2 linked regions of the Saccharomyces cerevisiae S288C genome follow. Changing the gene in region 1 together with any one later gene gives a genetic interaction. Each region holds a gene or a part of one and is shown in the gene's direction. Other genes may lie near its edges.

Region 1 (10,299 bases):
TGTGCGTTGGTGAGAGCTTGTTCTCCTTTGTTTGTTACACCATCTTCAATTACCTGTTTGATTGGAACGATACCCTTTGGGATACCGCATTAAGAGATCGCCATTTCCTGTTTTCGCCAGTCCATGTTTCAGTGAAGTTGATGCAATGGTGGCTGTCACCCGACCCCAACAAGGTAAGTTTTAAATTTGGTTCCCATAAGATGTTCCCCGACAATGTTAAGTGGTTTTCAGACGCATCAAAGGCCCCAAATATCTACTTGTTTGTTCCAAAGCAAGATAGATTGGTGGACGGAGAAAGACTAATCAATCATTTCGTCAATGTGGAGTCGAATGTCAACTACAAGATCTGGTACATTGATGAGTATGCCCATATTGATGTCCTATGGGCACATGATGTCATAGAGAGAATTGGTAAACCAATTTTACAGAATTTGAACAACTATTACTCCAAGAAGCCATCCAGCGCCTTTGAAAGTGATTGTTCGGACACAGAGGTGGAAACGGAGCTGGAAATGGTTGCTGAGAAGGCTTGAAGAGGAAGCATGATATATAGGTTAATATAAATTATACTTGGGAATACATAGATAGAGGGCTAGTAAATTTTTAGTTTTTAATTGTTCTTTTTTTTTGAAGTATTGTGTCACAAATTGTCGGGAGTTGGGACATCACCGTGCATAACGATACATTTTTTTGAAAAATTTGATATTGAAAAAAAATCGATGAGTTTGAATTACATTACAGTTGTATAAAGCAACCGCATTTCATTAACGTAGTTTGACTCGCGAAGATAAGGCGTTAAAATGAAGATTAAGACCATTAAAAGAAGTGCTGATGACTATGTCCCTGTTAAAAGTACGCAGGAATCTCAAATGCCCAGGAATTTGAACCCTGAATTGCATCCTTTTGAAAGGGCACGTGAATATACTAAAGCTTTGAATGCCACCAAATTGGAAAGAATGTTTGCTAAACCCTTTGTGGGTCAGTTAGGATACGGTCATAGAGATGGTGTTTATGCTATTGCCAAAAATTATGGTAGTCTGAATAAATTGGCTACTGGTTCTGCAGATGGTGTGATTAAATACTGGAACATGTCTACTAGAGAAGAATTTGTTTCCTTTAAGGCGCATTATGGACTCGTTACTGGTCTTTGTGTGACACAGCCTCGTTTTCATGACAAGAAGCCAGATTTGAAGAGCCAAAATTTTATGTTATCTTGCAGTGATGACAAAACTGTCAAGCTATGGTCAATAAATGTTGATGATTACTCCAATAAAAACTCCAGTGATAACGACTCCGTTACTAACGAGGAAGGTTTGATTCGTACTTTTGACGGTGAATCTGCATTTCAAGGTATCGATTCGCACAGAGAAAACTCCACGTTTGCCACAGGTGGGGCCAAGATCCATCTTTGGGACGTTAACAGATTGAAGCCAGTTTCCGATCTATCATGGGGAGCAGACAACATTACTAGTTTAAAATTCAATCAAAATGAAACAGATATCTTGGCCAGTACTGGTAGTGATAATTCTATTGTTCTTTACGACTTGAGAACCAACTCCCCCACACAAAAGATTGTTCAAACAATGAGGACGAATGCTATTTGCTGGAATCCAATGGAGGCCTTCAACTTTGTAACTGCCAATGAAGATCATAACGCCTACTATTATGATATGAGGAATTTATCACGTTCATTGAATGTATTCAAAGATCACGTCAGCGCAGTAATGGATGTTGACTTTTCTCCTACGGGGGATGAGATTGTTACTGGTTCGTACGATAAGAGTATCAGAATATATAAGACGAATCACGGACATTCGAGAGAAATTTATCATACGAAGAGAATGCAGCATGTTTTCCAGGTTAAATATTCCATGGATTCTAAATATATTATCAGTGGATCTGATGATGGGAATGTTAGGCTATGGAGAAGTAAAGCTTGGGAGAGGTCTAATGTCAAAACTACTCGTGAAAAGAATAAATTAGAATATGACGAAAAATTAAAAGAAAGATTTAGACATATGCCGGAGATCAAAAGAATCAGTAGACATAGACACGTGCCACAAGTCATCAAAAAGGCTCAGGAAATTAAGAACATTGAGTTGAGTTCTATTAAGAGAAGAGAAGCTAATGAAAGGCGTACTAGAAAGGATATGCCATACATTTCCGAAAGGAAGAAACAAATCGTTGGTACCGTGCACAAATATGAAGATTCAGGAAGAGATAGGAAAAGAAGAAAGGAAGATGACAAACGTGATACTCAAGAAAAGTAGTTATTCTGTTTTATGTTGTCTGTATATACACATATGTACAATATTTGCATTTTTTTAATTTTTAATTCACATGTATTTGATAAATGTTCACGCCAGTCCCGTTAAATTAAAATTACCATTTTATTAGATTATGAATTTATATATGAATACATTGTGTCGTAATGGTAGAAGAAGTTGAAAAAAAAAATGTCAAGGGACAGCATGGGTACAGTGTGTTGAGCCAAAAAAAAAAAGAAAAAAAAAGAAAAAACTTTTTGTTCTCTGGTTCTTTTCTTCATCTTCTTCATCTTCATTCTTTGGTAGCGGGGGCCACAAGAAATTCGGGCGAAAGTGCTCATTATATTGTTACATCCAAAATTTTGCCCACATCCAGTGAGGTTTTCACAGAAAGGTCTTCTAAAAGAGGAATAATATCTAATAATTCGTTATCATGAGTATCTGAGAACCAGGACGAAATCGGTATTGCATGTTGGGGATGAAAAATATAAGATGCCGGAGAGTTATCGAGAATGATGATATCTGATAACGGCCTTCCAATCTGGGATAAGTTTTTTATATAGTTTCCTTCATAGTTATAGCAAGCCTCTCTGAATAATCTGTGATGAATGACTTTATCTGTGTCTAATATATCAAGCAAAGGATCACCGTATCGAGAGACACTAGCCGTGAAGACTACAACCTCGAATAATTTTCCGACTCTTTCCAAAAATTCTTCCACACCAGGTCTTTTAATGACATAGACATTGTGTACTTGGTCATCTATTTCCACAGACAAAACAAAATCCGCAGATCGTAAGTATTTGAAAGAAGAGTGTACCAAGGTTTCATCCAGGTCCAGTATTAGGCATTTCTTGCCCTTTGTACTTTCATCTTGTGGGGGGAGCAGAGTGTTGTAACCTGGTGCATGATACTGGCCCTGCTGCAAAAGCGTTAGATCAATATATTCTTCATCTTCATCGTCTTCGTCGTCGGCATCGTTGGAAGTTTCACTGGCTTGAGAGCTGCTACTTACCCTACTCAAATTCATATCTTGGATAAGATGGTCAGACGATACTTGTACAGTAGGCCCTCGCTGCTGCGACTGCGACTGCGACTGTGACTGTGACTGTGACTGGGGTTGTGGTTGTGGTTGTGACTGTTGTTGTTGTTGCTGCTGTTGTTTTTTCTGCCTGGAAGTATCTTTCACAGCATCTCCTTTTTCCTGTACAATGCCACGACTGCGACGGTTATCTTCATCGTCGATCTCTTCATCTTCGTCAACCTCGTATTTTTCCTCGTAAAGATCATCTTTACTAATTCGCTTCTCTACTTTTGTCATATTATTAGTAGTAGTGGCGGTGACGGCTGCAGTCGGCGACGATGGCTTCTTTTTTTCATTATCGTTCGTGCTTATCCCAGATTTACCGGTGGATCGTTCAGTGGAACTGAAAGTAGCGGCTGAATTTGTCTTAGAAGGAGGAGAGTTTGTCTGATGTACGCCACGGGTTCGGCTTTTCGTGTTGGAATGTTTAACGCTTCTGTTTTTATTGAGAGAACTGCTCTGTTGTTGGCGATAAGCAGAATTGGAATTGGATTGTGTCGTCTCGGAAGAGCAGCACAGTATTGACGATATGAAACCCATACTGTTTTGCTACTTATTGTTGTTAAAGCTTACGAACACGAATGTAGGCAAATAAAAAGCTTGGATAAACGCACAATGAAAGGGGAAGTGCGATTGATTATGCTATAAGGAATGACACGAAGAGAGCAGACTATAGGCTAGGCAGGCGATAAAGGAAGGAGTTGTACTTGACGACAACGTAATAAAGAGTTCAATGAAAGAGTATTGTGAGCAGTATGGTTCAACGAGCACTTCTTCTCGACACCTATTTCTATACTTTTTCACTTAATATACACTAACTAATCCCAGACTTTTTTTTTTTTCCGTTCTTTCCAGAAAAAAAAGAAACAAAGCAAGCGTGCCCTGACTTAGGGTTTCCTAAAAAAGTTATTAGGTTTGTGTCACGTGATACGTCCTTTTCTGGTCACGTGGTCTTAGAACACTCTTAAGGGGCCAAGCACAAGAGGACAGTGCTAGCAGTAGAAGTGGTGTAGTAGTGATGAGGTAATGTTAATTGTGCATCGCACATATTTACAGGTAGTATATACTATAGTTTGTGAATACCTATTCTTATATATACAAGAAATGGTTGTCGGCAGACTGTCAGTAAGACTAATTTGCACTTGGAACTTCGAAGCCATAACCCTTCATGCACTCTTTGTACTTTTCAATGAATTCCTTGCATTTTTCAGAGTCTTGTCCATTGAATAAGATGCATGTATCCCGCTCCTCCTTTTCTGGCTTACAAACGCAACATGGCTTAGGTTTGTCCTCGCACTCCGCGTGGTTTTCTTGTTCTTGTTTCTTGTCAGTTTCAGTCATTGGGTATAATTGATTGTGTAGTTATCTGATTGTGTACACTAAAATTTTGTTTAGTTGTACTAGAGACAAGTAGTTAGGTGGTTACTAGATTCTGATTCGCCGCTATATATCGTCATTTTATCTTTTTTTGAAGGAGATAGGTAGGGTTATAACATTATCCGGGTAATGATTTGAAAAAAAATTTTCAAAAAATGCGATGAGATGAGGTTGAAAATTGTAAGTTAGAATATGCTTAGATAGTATGAGTATTTACGTTGGTAACTTGGGTTTCGAATTGGAGCTGTGTGCCTACAACAGCGTCTTATATATATACTATGGTGGTAGGAACTAAAAAATACTCTAATTTGGACTTTGTCCCTACAATCAGTGACAGTGAAGACGATGTTCCAATTCTAGATTCTTCTGATGACGAAAAAGTCGAGGCTAAGAAGACTACGAAGAAGCGGAAGGGTAAGAATAACAAGAAAAAGGTTAGTGAGGGGGATAACCTCGATGAGGATGTTCATGAGGACTTGGACGCGGGGTTTAAGTTTGATTTGGACGCCGATGATACCACTTCGAACTTCCAAGGCTGGAACTTTCTAGCAGAGGGCGAGTCCAATAAGGACGATGCCGAAGCTTTTGTGAAGAAGGACGTTGACTTGGATAAGATTATTAGAAGAAAAGGTGGGCTGGTGAAAATGGCCCATATTGATAGTAAACAAGAAGAAGAAACCGAGAAAGAAAAAGTAGAAAAAGAAAACGATAGCGACGATGAGGAATTAGCAATGGACGGGTTCGGTATGGGAGCTCCCATGAACAATGGAGACGAAAATCAGTCAGAAGAAGAAGAAGAAGAGGAGGAAAAGGAAGAGGAAGAGGAGGAAGAGGAGGAACAAGAAGAGATGACGTTAGAAAAAGGCGGCAAAGATGACGAAATAGATGAAGAAGACGATTCTGAAGAGGCAAAAGCCGATTTCTATGCGCCTGAAACTGAGGGAGATGAAGCTAAAAAGCAAATGTACGAAAATTTCAACAGTTTGTCTTTATCTCGTCCGGTTCTTAAGGGCCTTGCAAGTTTGGGTTACGTCAAGCCTTCCCCTATTCAAAGCGCCACAATCCCCATTGCCTTATTGGGTAAAGACATCATTGCCGGTGCTGTGACTGGTTCCGGTAAGACTGCTGCGTTTATGATTCCCATAATCGAGCGTTTGTTGTATAAACCAGCCAAAATCGCTTCCACCAGAGTTATTGTTCTATTGCCCACTCGTGAGTTAGCTATCCAAGTCGCTGACGTTGGTAAACAAATTGCACGTTTCGTCTCCGGTATAACCTTTGGTCTGGCCGTTGGTGGTTTGAACTTGAGACAACAAGAACAAATGTTGAAATCTCGTCCGGACATCGTCATTGCTACCCCAGGTAGATTCATTGATCATATCAGGAACTCAGCAAGTTTTAATGTGGACTCAGTAGAGATTCTGGTTATGGATGAAGCCGATAGAATGTTAGAAGAAGGTTTTCAAGATGAACTGAACGAAATTATGGGCCTATTACCAAGCAATAGACAGAACCTATTGTTTTCTGCTACAATGAACTCCAAAATTAAAAGTTTAGTTAGTCTTTCTCTAAAAAAACCAGTAAGGATTATGATTGATCCTCCAAAGAAAGCTGCTACTAAGTTGACACAAGAATTCGTTCGTATTCGTAAAAGAGACCATTTGAAGCCTGCCTTGTTATTTAATTTGATTAGGAAATTGGATCCAACGGGTCAAAAGAGGATTGTCGTTTTTGTGGCTAGAAAAGAAACTGCTCATAGGTTAAGGATTATCATGGGTCTTTTAGGTATGAGTGTGGGTGAATTACACGGTTCTTTAACCCAAGAACAGCGTTTAGATTCCGTTAATAAATTCAAAAATTTGGAAGTTCCTGTACTTATCTGTACGGATTTGGCCTCCAGAGGTCTTGATATCCCCAAGATTGAGGTTGTTATCAACTACGATATGCCCAAGAGTTATGAGATCTACCTGCATAGAGTTGGTCGTACCGCCAGAGCTGGTAGGGAAGGTCGTTCCGTCACCTTCGTCGGTGAATCATCTCAAGATAGAAGTATTGTACGTGCTGCTATAAAGAGTGTAGAAGAAAATAAGTCCCTAACTCAAGGTAAAGCACTTGGTAGAAACGTAGACTGGGTTCAAATCGAAGAAACAAACAAACTTGTTGAATCCATGAACGATACGATTGAAGATATTCTGGTGGAAGAAAAGGAGGAGAAGGAAATATTAAGGGCTGAAATGCAATTAAGAAAGGGTGAAAATATGTTGAAGCATAAAAAGGAAATCCAGGCAAGACCAAGAAGGACATGGTTCCAAAGCGAATCAGATAAGAAAAATTCCAAAGTATTAGGTGCTTTATCAAGGAACAAGAAAGTCACTAACAGCAAAAAGAGAAAGCGTGAAGAAGCTAAGGCAGATGGCAATGGTGCACGTTCTTATAGAAAAACCAAAACCGACCGTATTGCAGATCAAGAAAGAACTTTTAAAAAGCAGAAGAGTACAAATTCAAATAAGAAGAAGGGCTTCAAAAGCCGTAGGTAATAATTTTCATCGTCATTATCATAAAATATCAACATACTTATCACTGTCATTATATTATTAATACTTTGTATTTAAATATCATTAATTCATCTAATAAACAGGGGATTAGTCAAAAATTCCTTTTTTTTTGTTGAATCTGTAGAAGTGAGTATTAATAAACTGCAAGCTATATGCTATATTAAAAGGATTTTTCAAGTACAAACGAACTGAATGGAGACTCAAGCTACTTGCGGGAAAGAATTACAAAATTACATTCCATTCTAGTAAAAAAAAGTTATAAATAAAAAAAAATCGTCTGACGACAAATTTGTATCTTAATCAAAATAAAAATTTTGGGTTACTTTCTTTAACGTTTCCAAGTTATAAAATTCTTCATCTTCGTCCTCGTCGCTTGGTTCAGGTGGAGGCACTATGATGTCCTGACGAACGTTCAAATTTATCATCTGAACATTTTTCCTCAAATCAAATAAAGTGTCTATTTGTTCTTTCGTGTCTTCTGATATATCTTCATGCTGGAATGGAGATATCAATTTCAATCCGTCTAGCCATATATATCTTCCCTCTTCTGTGTCTAAATAAAATTTCAAAACTGTCCTGTCGTTACGATCTTTTAATTCAACTCCAGTGTACACATTGGCTTCATCTAATTTGATGTAAACATTACTGCTCGTCCGACGACTCGGTGTAGTAAGTTCTATGCTTTTGAAAGAGGTTATATGTTTCAAAACAACAACTTTTGTTCTGCCATTAGCTAATGCCTCAGAACCTGGACTTGTTAAAATTTTATTGTCGAATAGATAAGGTAAATCGTTTGTTTGTGTTTCGAATTCTCTGGCTAATAAATTTGCGTGGTTATCTGAAACTATGAGGAAGTAGACTTTAGGCGTGCCAGCTTCAGGATTCAGTGGGTTCTCTGCGTAAACCCACGTTCCCTTTTGCAATTGAAGAAGTCTTTGATGACGAACGTAATCACGAACCTGGCCTGATAGCATGGTATCGAAGCTAGCGATACTAGATGACCAGGTTCGATACTGTTCTTTTTTGATTGAGTCTAATTGTAATGTTCTTGCAAATTTATATCTCATAGAGTCAAGTGCAACAACTTGGGTCTTGAGAAGGGATTTCGTCTGTATTGCTGCTTCCAAATCACTGGATGACAAACAAACATATTTTAAAGTGATAATAGCTAAATTTAACAGTGAAACCAAATCACTTTGCGATTTTGCTAATGATTCTATCCAAAATCTCAAAAACAACTCGAGTGTTTTGTAAAAACATGTTTGTCGATTGAGAACAGCGGTAGCAATTTGTAATTTTAAATCACGCTCTGAGTCTGAGTATTGGTTCTCTTTTTTCCCACTTAGATTGAAAAGTCTTCTAAATTGGTCTGAAAGTTTAAATATTGCTTCATAAAGAGGGAAATCGTTCTCGCCAAACAACAATTGTTCAGTGTAAAGTCTCTTGAAAGACCCATTAGGACTGTTTAAGAATGTGAATGTATCATACGCATTTAATAAATTTATACTGGGAAGATCGCCCATTTCCATTTCTAACCCTTTTTGGAATACGGAGTTATCTTTGATGGCTGTAAGAAGATCAGCTTTAAGCGAACAGGAATAATCATCAATACTAACCGAAGATAGAAAATTTATTAGCCTCTGCTTTAACGGTACAAATTCTTCAAGGATTAGTGGTTGCAAGTCTTCTATGTAAAGTAATTCAGACATGGAAGCTGGAAAGTTATACTGAAATAGCAAAATGAGGATTCTGGGTACAAATTCTACGGCGTGTGATAGTGATGTCTCACATAATGTAAGTGAGCATTTTAAAAATAGGGTTATGCATAGTATAGTGTCCGTAAACAACGGTATATGAATAGGTCTTTGGGACAAAAGTTGTAAAAGTATTCCAATGAGCTGAGAGTTCTCTCTGGAGATGTGGCAGATGCTCACAATAACTTCATTCTTATTAGAATCTTGGCATTTAAGGGCTACATTAAAAATCCTAATGAGATTTGCTACCAACGTTTCTGACCTTAGCTTTTGGCAATTATCACACAATATAGCCCAAAATCGGGAATCTGGAATTACGGTTTTACATAGGTATTTTTCATCACAAAGGAGGATATAGTTTGCCAATAACTTTTCGTATTCATCACTTGTCTTGTTCAAATTTTTATTACTGATCAGCGTATGATAGCAAGCTTTTGATTGTGCACTCGTAAGTGACTTGACTGGCTTTCCTAATTTAGGATTCAGTAGCACTTTTATGTTTTCCAAGCTTTCATCTGGCATCTGCCTGTTATGCTTCATTGCTTATGCCGTTATTTGAGGTTACTTTAATCTATTTTCCTACTGATGACACAATTGAGTCAATCCAACGTGGAACGGGTTGCCCTTGTATACATTTCAGTTTACTTCTTTTCATGTATTTCCTTAATAGTTTATTTTTTCACTTTCTGCCTATCCGTTTCAATTCCGAAGAACCGTCAACATCCAATAAAGATCATCTACAACAATAAGTGCCCCTCATAATTTTCTCAATGAGATGAAAGAACTTTGAGAGAGTCAATATAATACCTGTAGCCTTTTTCTGAAAATGACTGATAGTGAGAATGAATCCACCGAAACGGATTCGTTAATGACGTTTGACGATTATATAAGCAAAGAGCTACCTGAACATTTACAGAGACTAATCATGGAGAATTTGAAGGGTTCTACTACTAATGACTTAAAGCAAACTTCAAACAACTCAGAGTTTAATGTCAGTAAAAACGGGAGCTTCAAAGGTCTCGATGATGCAATTCAAGCTTTGCAAATGCAAAGCGTGTTGCATCCTTCTTCGTTAGGATCGTTAGCAACGTCCTCCAAATTTTCTGGATGGTCGTTTGCTCAAGGGTTTTTTGTAGGACAGCTAAGCATAGTGTTGTTGTTCATCTTTTTCCTAAAGTTCTTTATATTCAGTGATGAGCCATCTAAAAGTAAGAATCCGAAACCTGCAGCCTCCCGTCACAGATCAAAATTTAAAGAATATC
Region 2 (10,696 bases), on another chromosome or scaffold:
CTTTGCACAATCGAGAATGTTTGATTGGTTCAACGGTCATTCATGGGCAGCTGGACTTTATGAAAACGGTAACGGTAAGAACGAAGAAAGTAGTAGTGAAGATTACAATTTTGCCTATGCTATGAAGTTATGGGGGGCCACTATCGGTGACCAGTCAATGGAATTGAGGGGTGACTTGATGATTAGTATAATGAAGGATGCAATGAACGACTATTTCTATTATCAAAATGACAACACAGTTGAGCCTGAAGAAATCATAGGAAATAAAGTGAGTGGTATTTTATTCGATAATATTATCGATTATACTACTTATTTTGGAACAAACACAGAATATATCCACGGTATTCATATGCTACCTATCACACCAGTTTCTTCTAATATTCGTTCTGAGACTTTCGTCGAAGAAGAATGGCAGACTAAAATCGAGCCAATTATTGAATCGATAGAAAGCGGCTGGACAGGCATATTGAAGCTGAATCAAGCACTCTTCGACCCAGTAGATTCGTATGCATTTTTCAGTGATTCAACTTTTGATTCATCCACATATTTGGATAACGGAATGAGTCGCACATGGGCATTAGCATTTTCAGGGGGACTGGCCAACTCAATTGCTTAGAAAGAGAACTTGGCAAGCAGGTCTGTCGAGTCTTTCCCACTACATACATATTTTATAGAATAAATCATTTTTACTTAACTTGAAAGTTGTTGCGTTCGAAAAGACCACGGCTAACGGAGACCACTTAGGTAAATGCATGCCAGTAAGAGGTATATTAGTACTTTAATGAATGAACTTAGCAAGGTAATGCCTGCACTAAAATAAAATTCTAACGTCATCCTAAGAAGCATCAATTGGACATAGTGAGGAAAAGTTTTCACCATTTAAAATTTGTTTTGCAGAATACCATTCTAGACTATGATCCCTTAGAGATTCTCATTCTTTAAATATCAGCTTCAACAGCATATCTTTATAGTATTATCGTACTACTGGCGACATTAGCAAATCAAAGTATTTTTGCTCAGTTTCTAGTTTTATCTGTTTGATTCCCCATTAGATGGTAAACACGTTGTCTTGATGACTGAAAAGGAAGTGAACATGGTCAACTCAAAATAACCAGACTCAAAATAATTGCAATTACCTAGGCTAGATATTTTTAGAATATTATGAGAATATTTTTAGAATATTTGCAACCCAAAATATATTTAAATGCCGCCAATTTGCAACCAAAAGATTATCCGCTACCTTTTTTTTAGTCATTGAATCGTAGCATAAAGTTCCGAGCTTTGAAAAAAAGCTTTGAACTAAGAAAAGGTAAGAGATCCTCAATTATGATATTACTCCAAGTCATATGCACGATTTGGACATGTCTCTTTATTCCGTTACTCAATGCAGAGGAATTCGTCCCCAAAGTAACGGAGACTCTTTCAGAATATTCATTTAGTCTAGAGAGCTTTGACGATTCCAACAGTTTAATCAGATTAGATAATCAAGTCGTGTGGATAAGTTCCGATTCTGGAGAAAATTGGGAAGCGGTCAAAGAAATTGAAGGGCATATTCTCGAATTAATTGTTGATCCTTTGCATGGACAGGACAGGGCTTTTGTTTCGATACATTTATCACCCAAATTTTACGTCACCGATGATCGTGGAAAATCATGGAGGGCTCTGACTATACCCGTCTCTGAAAACTGTCGTTTGGGTACTTCTTGCTCTATAGCTACCCATCCGACAGATAAAAAGTACCTTATTGCAGATTGCCCTTGCTTTATAAACGACAATGGTTATATCCAAATACAAAATGAAACTTACTTTACCAACGATGGGGAATCCTTTTACAATATCGAACCTTCCTTGAAAAAGAAAGAAGATGACCATATAACAAGTTCAAGCTGCAACTTTGTCAAATCTAGCAAGGATTCTGATATTGAGGGTAACGACGCTTCGATACTATGTTTGTTCTCGAACCATGGTTACGATAGCGATCGTCACTTAAGTGCCGCATATACACAATTAGCCTTAAGTACTGATGGAGGTAAAACTTTCAAAAAATTTGATGAGTTTAATGATAAAATTATTTATCAATACAAGATATTAAAATCACATATAATCGTTTCGACACAAGATGATAGATACAATGAAATGTCACCCATGGACATCTGGATATCCAATGATGCGTCTACTTTTCAAAAGGCACGTCTACCTGCTCAAGTACGGCACGTCCATATGTATGGAATTTATGAAGATTCTATTGGAAGAATAATCATTCCTATATCTACGATATTCACAGATGAAAAAAACGACCAACCAGCTCCCTCAGAAATTTTAATATCAGATTCTCAAGGGTTGAAATTTTTACCTGTTGAATGGACAATAAATCCTCACTTTGGTTATATTGATATTGCTTCTCCTCATTTCTTAGAAGGAACAATAATTGGCTCGTTTCATCCTTCCTTTGACTACTCTCATAACAAAGGAAAATATAATAAAAAGATAGCCAGATATGAAACTAAAATATCTGTTGATAACGGCCTCACATGGTCAAATTTGAAAGTGGTTGACGAGGAAAATGCAGATTCATTCCCTTGTGATATCACTAGGCCTGAAAGATGTTCGCTCCAGAACCCTTTTTATAGTATCTAAATCTCAAATCCTACTGCCGGAATTATGTTAATGACAGGTTCCGTTGGCGACGGTAGTGAATTCGATTGGGAAGACCAAAAAACTTTCATCTCTAGAGATGGCGGTTTAACGTGGAGATTTGTTCATAATTCTTCTGGGTTATATGCTACTGGTGACCTGGGAAATATTATTGTGTATATCCCATATGATCCAGAGGAAGATGGCGATTTTCAATCTGAATTTTATTATTCTTTGGACCAAGGTAGAACATGGAATGAATATGAGCTGACCAATGCCATAAGTTCTGTCCATCCCTACAAATTGATAAATCCAACACCAGATGGATCTGGCTCAAAATTTATTTTTAAAGGAACGTTTGCCACTACCGATTCCGAAACCAACAGTATAACTTCTTTAAAAGGTGTCGAGTATATAATTGATTTTTCAGCAGCATTCGACTCTAGAACGTGTGAGGAGGAAGATTTTGAAGATTGGGATTTGGCGGATGGGAAATGTGTTAATGGCGCCAAATACAAGTATAGAAGGAGGAAACAAGACGCCCAGTGTTTGGTAAAAAAAGCATTCAAAGATTTGAGTTTAGATGAAACGCCTTGTAATAGTTGTGGTGAATCCGACTACGAATGTTCGTTTGAATTTGTTAGGGACGCAAACGGCCTGTGTATACCAGATTATAATCTGATTGCCTTTTCCAACATATGTGACAAATCGAAGGATAAATCTGTGTTAGTAGAGCCATTACAATTAATCAAAGGTGATGAATGTAAAACACCCATGAAAATTGAACCCGTTGATATTCCGTGTGACGAAATTCCAGAGGAGGGTTCGAGTGACAGGGAAATAGTGACCACTGAAAACAAATTTGACTTCGAAATTAAATTTTACCAATACTTCGATACAGTTGCCGACGAATCTTTGGTCATGCTGAATTCGATAGGAGACGCCTATATATCCCACGATGGTGGACAAACAATAAAAAGGTTTGACACTAACGGCGAAAAAATTGTTGAAGTTGTGTTTAACCCATATTTCAATTCTTCAGCATATTTGTTTGGCTCTAAAGGTAACATATTCTCAACACACGATAGAGGACACTCTTTTATGATAGCTAAATTACCTGAAGCCAGGCAATTAGGTATGCCACTAGATTTTAGTGCTAAAGCACAGGATACTTTTATTTACTATGGTGGCAAGAATTGTGAATCAATCTTAAGTCCAGAATGTCATGCAGTAGCATACCTCACCAAAGATGGAGGTGAAACTTTTACAGAAATGCTTGATAATGCAATTCATTGTGAGTTTGCAGGCACACTCTTTGAATATCCGTCAAATGAGGAGATGGTTATGTGCCAAGTAAAAAAGAAGTCTTCAGAAACAAGAAGCTTGGTTTCTTCGATAGATTTTTTCCAAGGTGATAATAAAATTATCTTTGAAAACATTATCGGCTACTTGTCCACTGGTGGCTATATTATTGTTGCCGTACCTCATGAAGACAATGAGTTGAGGGCATATGTAACTATTGATGGTACTGAGTTTGCCGAGGCAAAATTCCCGTATGGTCAAGATGTTAGTAAGCAAGAGGCATTCACTATTTTAGGATCTGAGAAAGGATCGATATTTTTACATTTAGCAACAAACTTAGAATCAGGACACGATTTTGGAAACCTTTTGAAATCCAACTCGAATGGTACTTCTTTTGTCACTTTAGAGCATGCCGTTAATAGAAACACATTCGGTTATGTCGACTTTGAAAAAGTTCAAGGTCTTGAAGGTATTATTATTACCAACATCGTTTCGAATAGGGAAAAGGTTGGAGAGAACAAGGAAGACGAACAATTGAAGACGAAAATCACCTTTAATGACGGTTCAGATTGGAACTTTTTGAAGCCTCCAAAGAAGGATTCGGAAGGGAAAAAGTTTCCCTGTGATTCTGTATCATTAGATAAATGTTCTCTACATTTGCATGGTTACACTGAACGTAAGGATATCAGGGATACATATTCCTCCGGTTCCGCGTTAGGAATGATGTTTGGTGTCGGAAATGTTGGCGATAAGCTTCTACCATATGAGGAGTGTTCCACTTTTTTAACCACTGATGGAGGAGAGACGTGGACTGAGGTTAAAAAAGGCCCCCATCAATGGGAGTACGGTGATCATGGTGGAGTCTTGGTTTTGGTCCCCGAAAACGCAGAAACTGATTCTATTTCTTACTCCACCGATTTTGGTAAAACATGGAAAGATTATAAATTCTGTGGCGACAAAGTCCTCGTAAAGGATATAATCACCGTTCCCAGAGATTCTGCTTTGAGGTTTTTGCTATTTGGAGAAGCAAAAAACATGGGTAGTGGTTCATTCAGAACGTATACAATTGATTTTAGAAACATCTTCGAGAGGCAATGTGAGTTTGATATTACGGGTAAAAAAAGGGCAGATTTTAAGTACTCTCCTCTGGGTTCCAGAACTGGTTGTCTATTTGGTCATCAAACCGAGTTTTTACGTAAAACCGATGAAAAATGTTTTATTGGGAATATTCCACTTTCTGAATTTTCGAGGAACGTCAAAAACTGTTCATGTACGAGGCAAGATTTCGAATGTGACTATAATTTTTATAAAGCCAGTGATGGTACTTGTAAATTAGTCAAAGGCTTAAGTTCGGCGAATGGTGCCGATATCTGCAAAAAGGAACCCGACTTAATTGAATACTATGATTCCTCTGGCTATCGAAAAATTCCCTTATCAACCTGTAAAGGTGGGCTGAAATTGGATGCACATTTAGCACCACATCCTTGTCCGGGAAAAGAAAAGGCATTCAGGGAAAAATATTCTATAAACACCGGCGCTTATGCGCTGGTTTTTGTTACAATTCTTCTCGTTATTTTCTTTGCCGCATGGTTTGTATACGATAGAGGTATCAGGAGAAATGGGGGATTTTCAAGATTTGAAGAAATAAGATTAGGAGACGATGGGCTGATAGAAAACAATAGGACCGATAGAGTTGTCAACATCATTGTAAGACTAGGATTATGCATTTCTTTAATTACCAAGTCTGCATTTCAACGCACGAAGGCAGGTGTAGCACGCTTTTCTTCAAAATTAAGGGCAAGGTTTGGCAACAGAAAAGGTCCTACTTACTCTTCGCTGCTTCAGGGTCAGTTTTCAGATGAATCAGATGGCTTGCATGAAGATGCTAACGATTTATCCAGTTTCACAAGTCAAGACAGTAATTTTGAAATTGAACAAGAAGATGCTTACAGACCCGAACAAGAGCACACGTCACAGATAGACCAGCCTGCCACTAGCAATATTCCAGACGCATTGCCAGCACGTAGTGCTATTCACAAGCCTGATTCAACTGCTGTGCGCAACGAGGACGAGTAAATAGATTTTTTTAATAGACTAAATAATCGTATGTTTGCTAACAAAAAGTACGCATATGCATTTTCTCAATATTGTGCATTTTCTAAATCTCCATTCACCTTTGTTATTAACATAGTCATTTAAAGGTATGATAATTCAGTATTCATCTTTTCCACAGACGGCGCTGCATGCCATTCGTCTGTAACTTGCCTAGGGACTGCGCCGCACATAATCGTGACAGAAATTTCAAAAGTGATAGGAGCCAAAAGTGATAGGAGCCAAAAAGAACATATATAAGCACGATCAAATTAACTGAACTTGACCACTTTTCTTTCACTGTCAGAATTGGACGAAGGACAAAAATGTCAAATATCATTGCAAGATTTCACAAGATTCAAGTTCAAGACGGTGTAAAGGTTTGGTACCGTGAGGCCGGTGCAGCAGGTAACCCCACAATTTTATTGCTACATGGGTTCCCTACATCTTCCAACATGTTCAGGAACCTCATTCCCTTACTAGCTGGACAGTTTCACATCATTGCTCCGGATCTTCCTGGGTTCGGATTTACGGAAACGCCAGAAAACTACAAGTTCAGCTTTGATTCCCTTTGTGAAAGTATAGGATATTTGTTAGATACTTTGAGTATTGAAAAATTTGCCATGTATATATTTGATTATGGATCTCCGGTAGGTTTTCGGTTAGCCTTGAAGTTTCCCTCCAGAATTACTGGCATTGTTACTCAAAACGGTAATGCTTACGAAGAGGGTCTCGATGACCGCTTTTGGGGTCCGTTGAAGGAATATTGGAAGTCATATCAAAGTGATCCGGTATTTGTTAAATCCCTTATCCCGTACCTTGAAGATCCAGCTAATGTCATATGCCAGTACCATGATGGAGTACCAGCTATCGAATCTGTTGATCCCGCCGCTTATACGCTTGATATTGCGCTAATTCAGCGTACCGGCCAGACCGATATTCAATTGAGATTATTTTTCGATTATCAGAATAATATAAAGTTGTACCCAGCCTTTCAAAAGTTCTTGAGAGATTCAAAGATTCCTGTGCTAGTTGCATGGGGTGCGAATGATACTATTTTTAGCGTTGCCGGGGCTGAAGCTTATCGGAAAGACGTTGATAATTTAAAGGTTGTTTACTATGATACTGGCCATTTTGCGCTTGAAACTCACGTAGTTGCTATTGCCGAAGAAATCATCAGTATGTTTGCAGAAAATTAAAGATACTAAGTTCTTGTGACAATGTTTTCTGAGAAGAATCTCTCGTATTTTGTTTAATTGCCAAAAACACATATGTTTCGACTCACATAGAGTTGCCTCAGAGCGTTCTTTTGTTACCCATTATTGCTCATAAATAAGTCAAAACAGATGTCTGGTCGCATTATCAAGGGTTTGTACTGGTAGCCCGGTGACAATATATTAATCTAAGCATATAACATTTTTAGTAAGTTCTTCAGCCACCTTTTTTACGATCTATGTTGTTTTGAAGGGTAAACCTACTACCATGTCATATGGATCTTTCCCCTAGTAAACTTGTATCTCAAAAGGTCATTTCTGAATAAAGTGTCAAAAAATCAGCTAGGAAACGGTTTAGTAAAGTATGCGACCCCAAAATTCGACAAAGCTATCACCACTCAGCTGTACTGGACTGATCGGATATTTGATTATATCAATAAGGTTTTGTTCAATAGGAAGTACCTGAACTAAATCTTGCAATATTTCCAATGCTAGAATGTATTCAAATAGTTCAGTACCTTTAAGGAACTGCACCACCTGCTTATACCTTAGGAGTATAATACATGAAATACATAATGTCAGTGACGCTGTTCTTAAAGGATAACAAAAATTCCAATCCAAACGTTCATGCCTTTCCTTTTCGTTATCGGGAAACTGTTTAGTGTATTGACTCCATATTTCGTGAATTATTGATTTTGCCATGGTTACTGCTTGTAAGGATTCTCCAGTGATCAGATACGGACGATATAATAGAAAAGAAGCTTGAGCTCTTAAACATGATAGCTCTAACATTAAGACTCTGCTCCTGTAAAAAAGATGTTCTTCGAATATCGGAAAGCCTTTTAACCTGGTAATCTGGAGTGAAACCTCCTCAAATTCTCTTTCTAAGTTTACGAATGGTACCTCGTTTGCGGTGCTGGAAGTATATAGCCGTTGAAAAATCTTACTTTGTAGAGTGGCTAGCTTGATTCTGATTTGCATGAAATCTATCAAAAGTTTATTAGTTTTATTGCGGGGGGATATTTCACACGGCAGAGGTGTTGTAATTTGTTCCAAAGTGATAAAAGGATTTTTTCCATGAATTGTTGCCAACATGCAAGAAGAACACCAAATGTTCCAAAAAAGCAAGATCACACCAATTCCGTCGCTGTTCGACTCAAGTAATTCCTTGCATTTTGTATTGTTGTTCAAGTTTAAAGCCACAGCAAGTTGTAAAGCATTTATACTCAAATATAATTGGTGCTCTAAGGATATCATCATCGTCATGAAATTTGCCATTAGAACGAGGCCGCAAAATCCATCGATTGTGGGATGAGATAACAAGTCGGGAACAAGCGTTTTCGCAGCATTATAGTACTTAAAAGCATCAGTGGTCAGTTTTGAAATACTATTCTCCGGCAAAAGTGGACGATTGTCTATGTTCGAATGATTCAATAGTTCCCTTTTTCGTATGGTCAACGACCCCAGGCACAATACAGTTGAAAGTAAAAACTTTTCATCACTATTTCCTTCTGTACATTCCAAATTTGGGTATTGGGATTCCAGCTCATATAGATGCCATTTTGATATTCCTGGTACGGAGTGAAGCTTGTTCTCAAACAAGACATCGATTAGCCGAGACCTCGTAGGAGCGTTATCTTCGCTCTCAGTTTCTTTAACCACACCGCTTAAGCCTGTAGCAGTAGGTGAATAGGAAAGACTTTTTTGTTCCTTTGAAGGTGAATTATCGCCTAATAGTTTTAAAAAGTCATCGAAATCTGTTGTCTCAGTGTTAAACTCATCGAAATCAAAATCGATCGGAAGAGAAGTGTCCCACCCGTCATTATTAAAAATCACAGCATCATTTGTGCCAAATCTTGATATATCAATATCTGAATCGAATTTTGGCGCTTCTTTCTCATATATATGAGAAGAAAGGTCTTCATTTAGTCCTTTGTTCTCTAGTATAGAGTTATTCCCGTTATCGATAGTATTATTCTTGAATAAAAAAACCTTCGACCCGTTTTTGATTTTTCTCTTGTCTTTCCTTTTATCAATATTATAAATGCATTCTTTTGGTGTATTTAGCCTTATACATCTTCCACATGGCTTGTTCCCATCGCACTTCAACTTTCGTTTCCTACACACAGTACAGGCCAAACTAATAGATCTCTTTCTAGCGTCCTTAGATCTGTCCATACTGCTTGTTGCGAACGCTTTTGTAGTTTTAGATTAAGCTCTCACAAGGGATATTATTAAGGGAACTTGATGGTCGACTTTAATTGAATCTTAGATGACAGCATCAAAGAGAACAGACACAGTTTTTCAGCGATGCCCGTAAAAACAATAGATTTTTTTTTTAAGTCGAGATGCTTACAAAGTAAAGAGCCTAATAGACCTCTATGTAAAAAGCATCAGATTATTCTTCAAACTCAAGTGACTTGGCAGCTACTGTTTTAACATACGGGCAAACAAACTTTAGGTGGAACGCTGGTTTCTGAGGTTTTCGAATTTGGATACTTGCCAGAGGAGATAAAATGTAATGAAGTTTTCTTATGACAACTTTTATTCTGTACTGGCCTAATAATAAATTAGTTTTTACCAAGAACATTGCATGTGTGCCATCGGAGCCATTTGCCAAAGACCAGTTTCTAGATAAATACATTCTTGAATGAAGTTTAATTTCTGATATTTTGTTAGCTTCAAAAGTTATTCATAATACTCTCACTTTACTAAGTTACATCTAAATATAAGGCTCAGGATATCCTTCTGGGTGAATAGTTCTCGAGAAAGCCCATTAAAACTGAGCTATTCTATATATGTATGCTTGAGTGTAGAGCTCGAATTATATAAAAAAAAAAATACATTACTGTGATCCGCCAGGAAAAGGCAGTAAAAAAAGCTGATACATATTTACAACGGCGAATCGCGAAGACACTTACTTTTCTCACATGCCTTTGTCTTTATGCTTACAAAGGACCACTTTACTTATTCTTCTAGTCTTTCGCTTCGACGTCGGAATCTCAAAAAAATATGGGACAGCTGTCTGGAAATGGGGGACAGTCTAGGTAATTAGAATTACCAAACGCCTACTGTTCTCTTCTATTACTAAAATAAGTTGATTTTACTATTTTGATACAGAAGTATAGCGCCCAAACAAGCCTATCCCATTCTAAGCGGAACAAAATTTCCTAATCTGGAAAAGAATCGCCGTCAATAAATAATCATCATATAAAAGATCAGTTAACATTACTTTCTAGTTGTCAAGTACTCTTTCGTTCTTCTTAATTGTATCTCAATTGCATTACAAATCCATCCATTTCACTCGACGGTGGTACAATAAATTAAAATGAAAAAAATCTTAGGTGTCAAGAAACACATGTTTTTGAAATACTTGGCTGTAATTTTGATAGCTGTCCAATTCAGTTTCGACTCCTGTGTATATCTCTCAAGTGTGGTTGACTACATCAAAGAAG

Evidence for each region.
Region 2: mutations in YLL006W-A (region 1) and YNR064C together harm fitness more than expected from each alone (negative genetic interaction), as found in Saccharomyces cerevisiae (one large-scale study listed by BioGRID).

Annotation. Positions count from the first base shown.
Region 1 is NC_001144.5:126,723-137,021, forward strand, and holds YLL006W-A (uncharacterized protein), read left to right. Parts: upstream 1-9,622; coding exon 9,623-9,799; downstream 9,800-10,299. Other genes in the region: YEH1 (sterol esterase), read left to right, coding at 1-533; rRNA-processing protein SOF1, read left to right, coding at 801-2,270; PSR1 (phosphatase), read right to left, coding at 2,608-3,891; copper metallochaperone COX17, read right to left, coding at 4,483-4,692; DRS1 (putative ATP-dependent RNA helicase), read left to right, coding at 5,007-7,265; LMO1 (Lmo1p), read right to left, coding at 7,580-9,577; ERMES complex subunit MMM1, read left to right, coding at 9,864-10,299.
Region 2 is NC_001146.8:745,666-756,361, reverse strand, and holds YNR064C (epoxide hydrolase), read left to right. Parts: upstream 1-6,353; coding exon 6,354-7,226; downstream 7,227-10,696. Other genes in the region: DSE4 (endo-1,3(4)-beta-glucanase), read left to right, coding at 1-616; YNR066C (uncharacterized protein), read left to right, coding at 1,327-2,637; YNR065C (uncharacterized protein), read left to right, coding at 2,662-6,012; PUL4 (Pul4p), read right to left, coding at 7,596-9,419.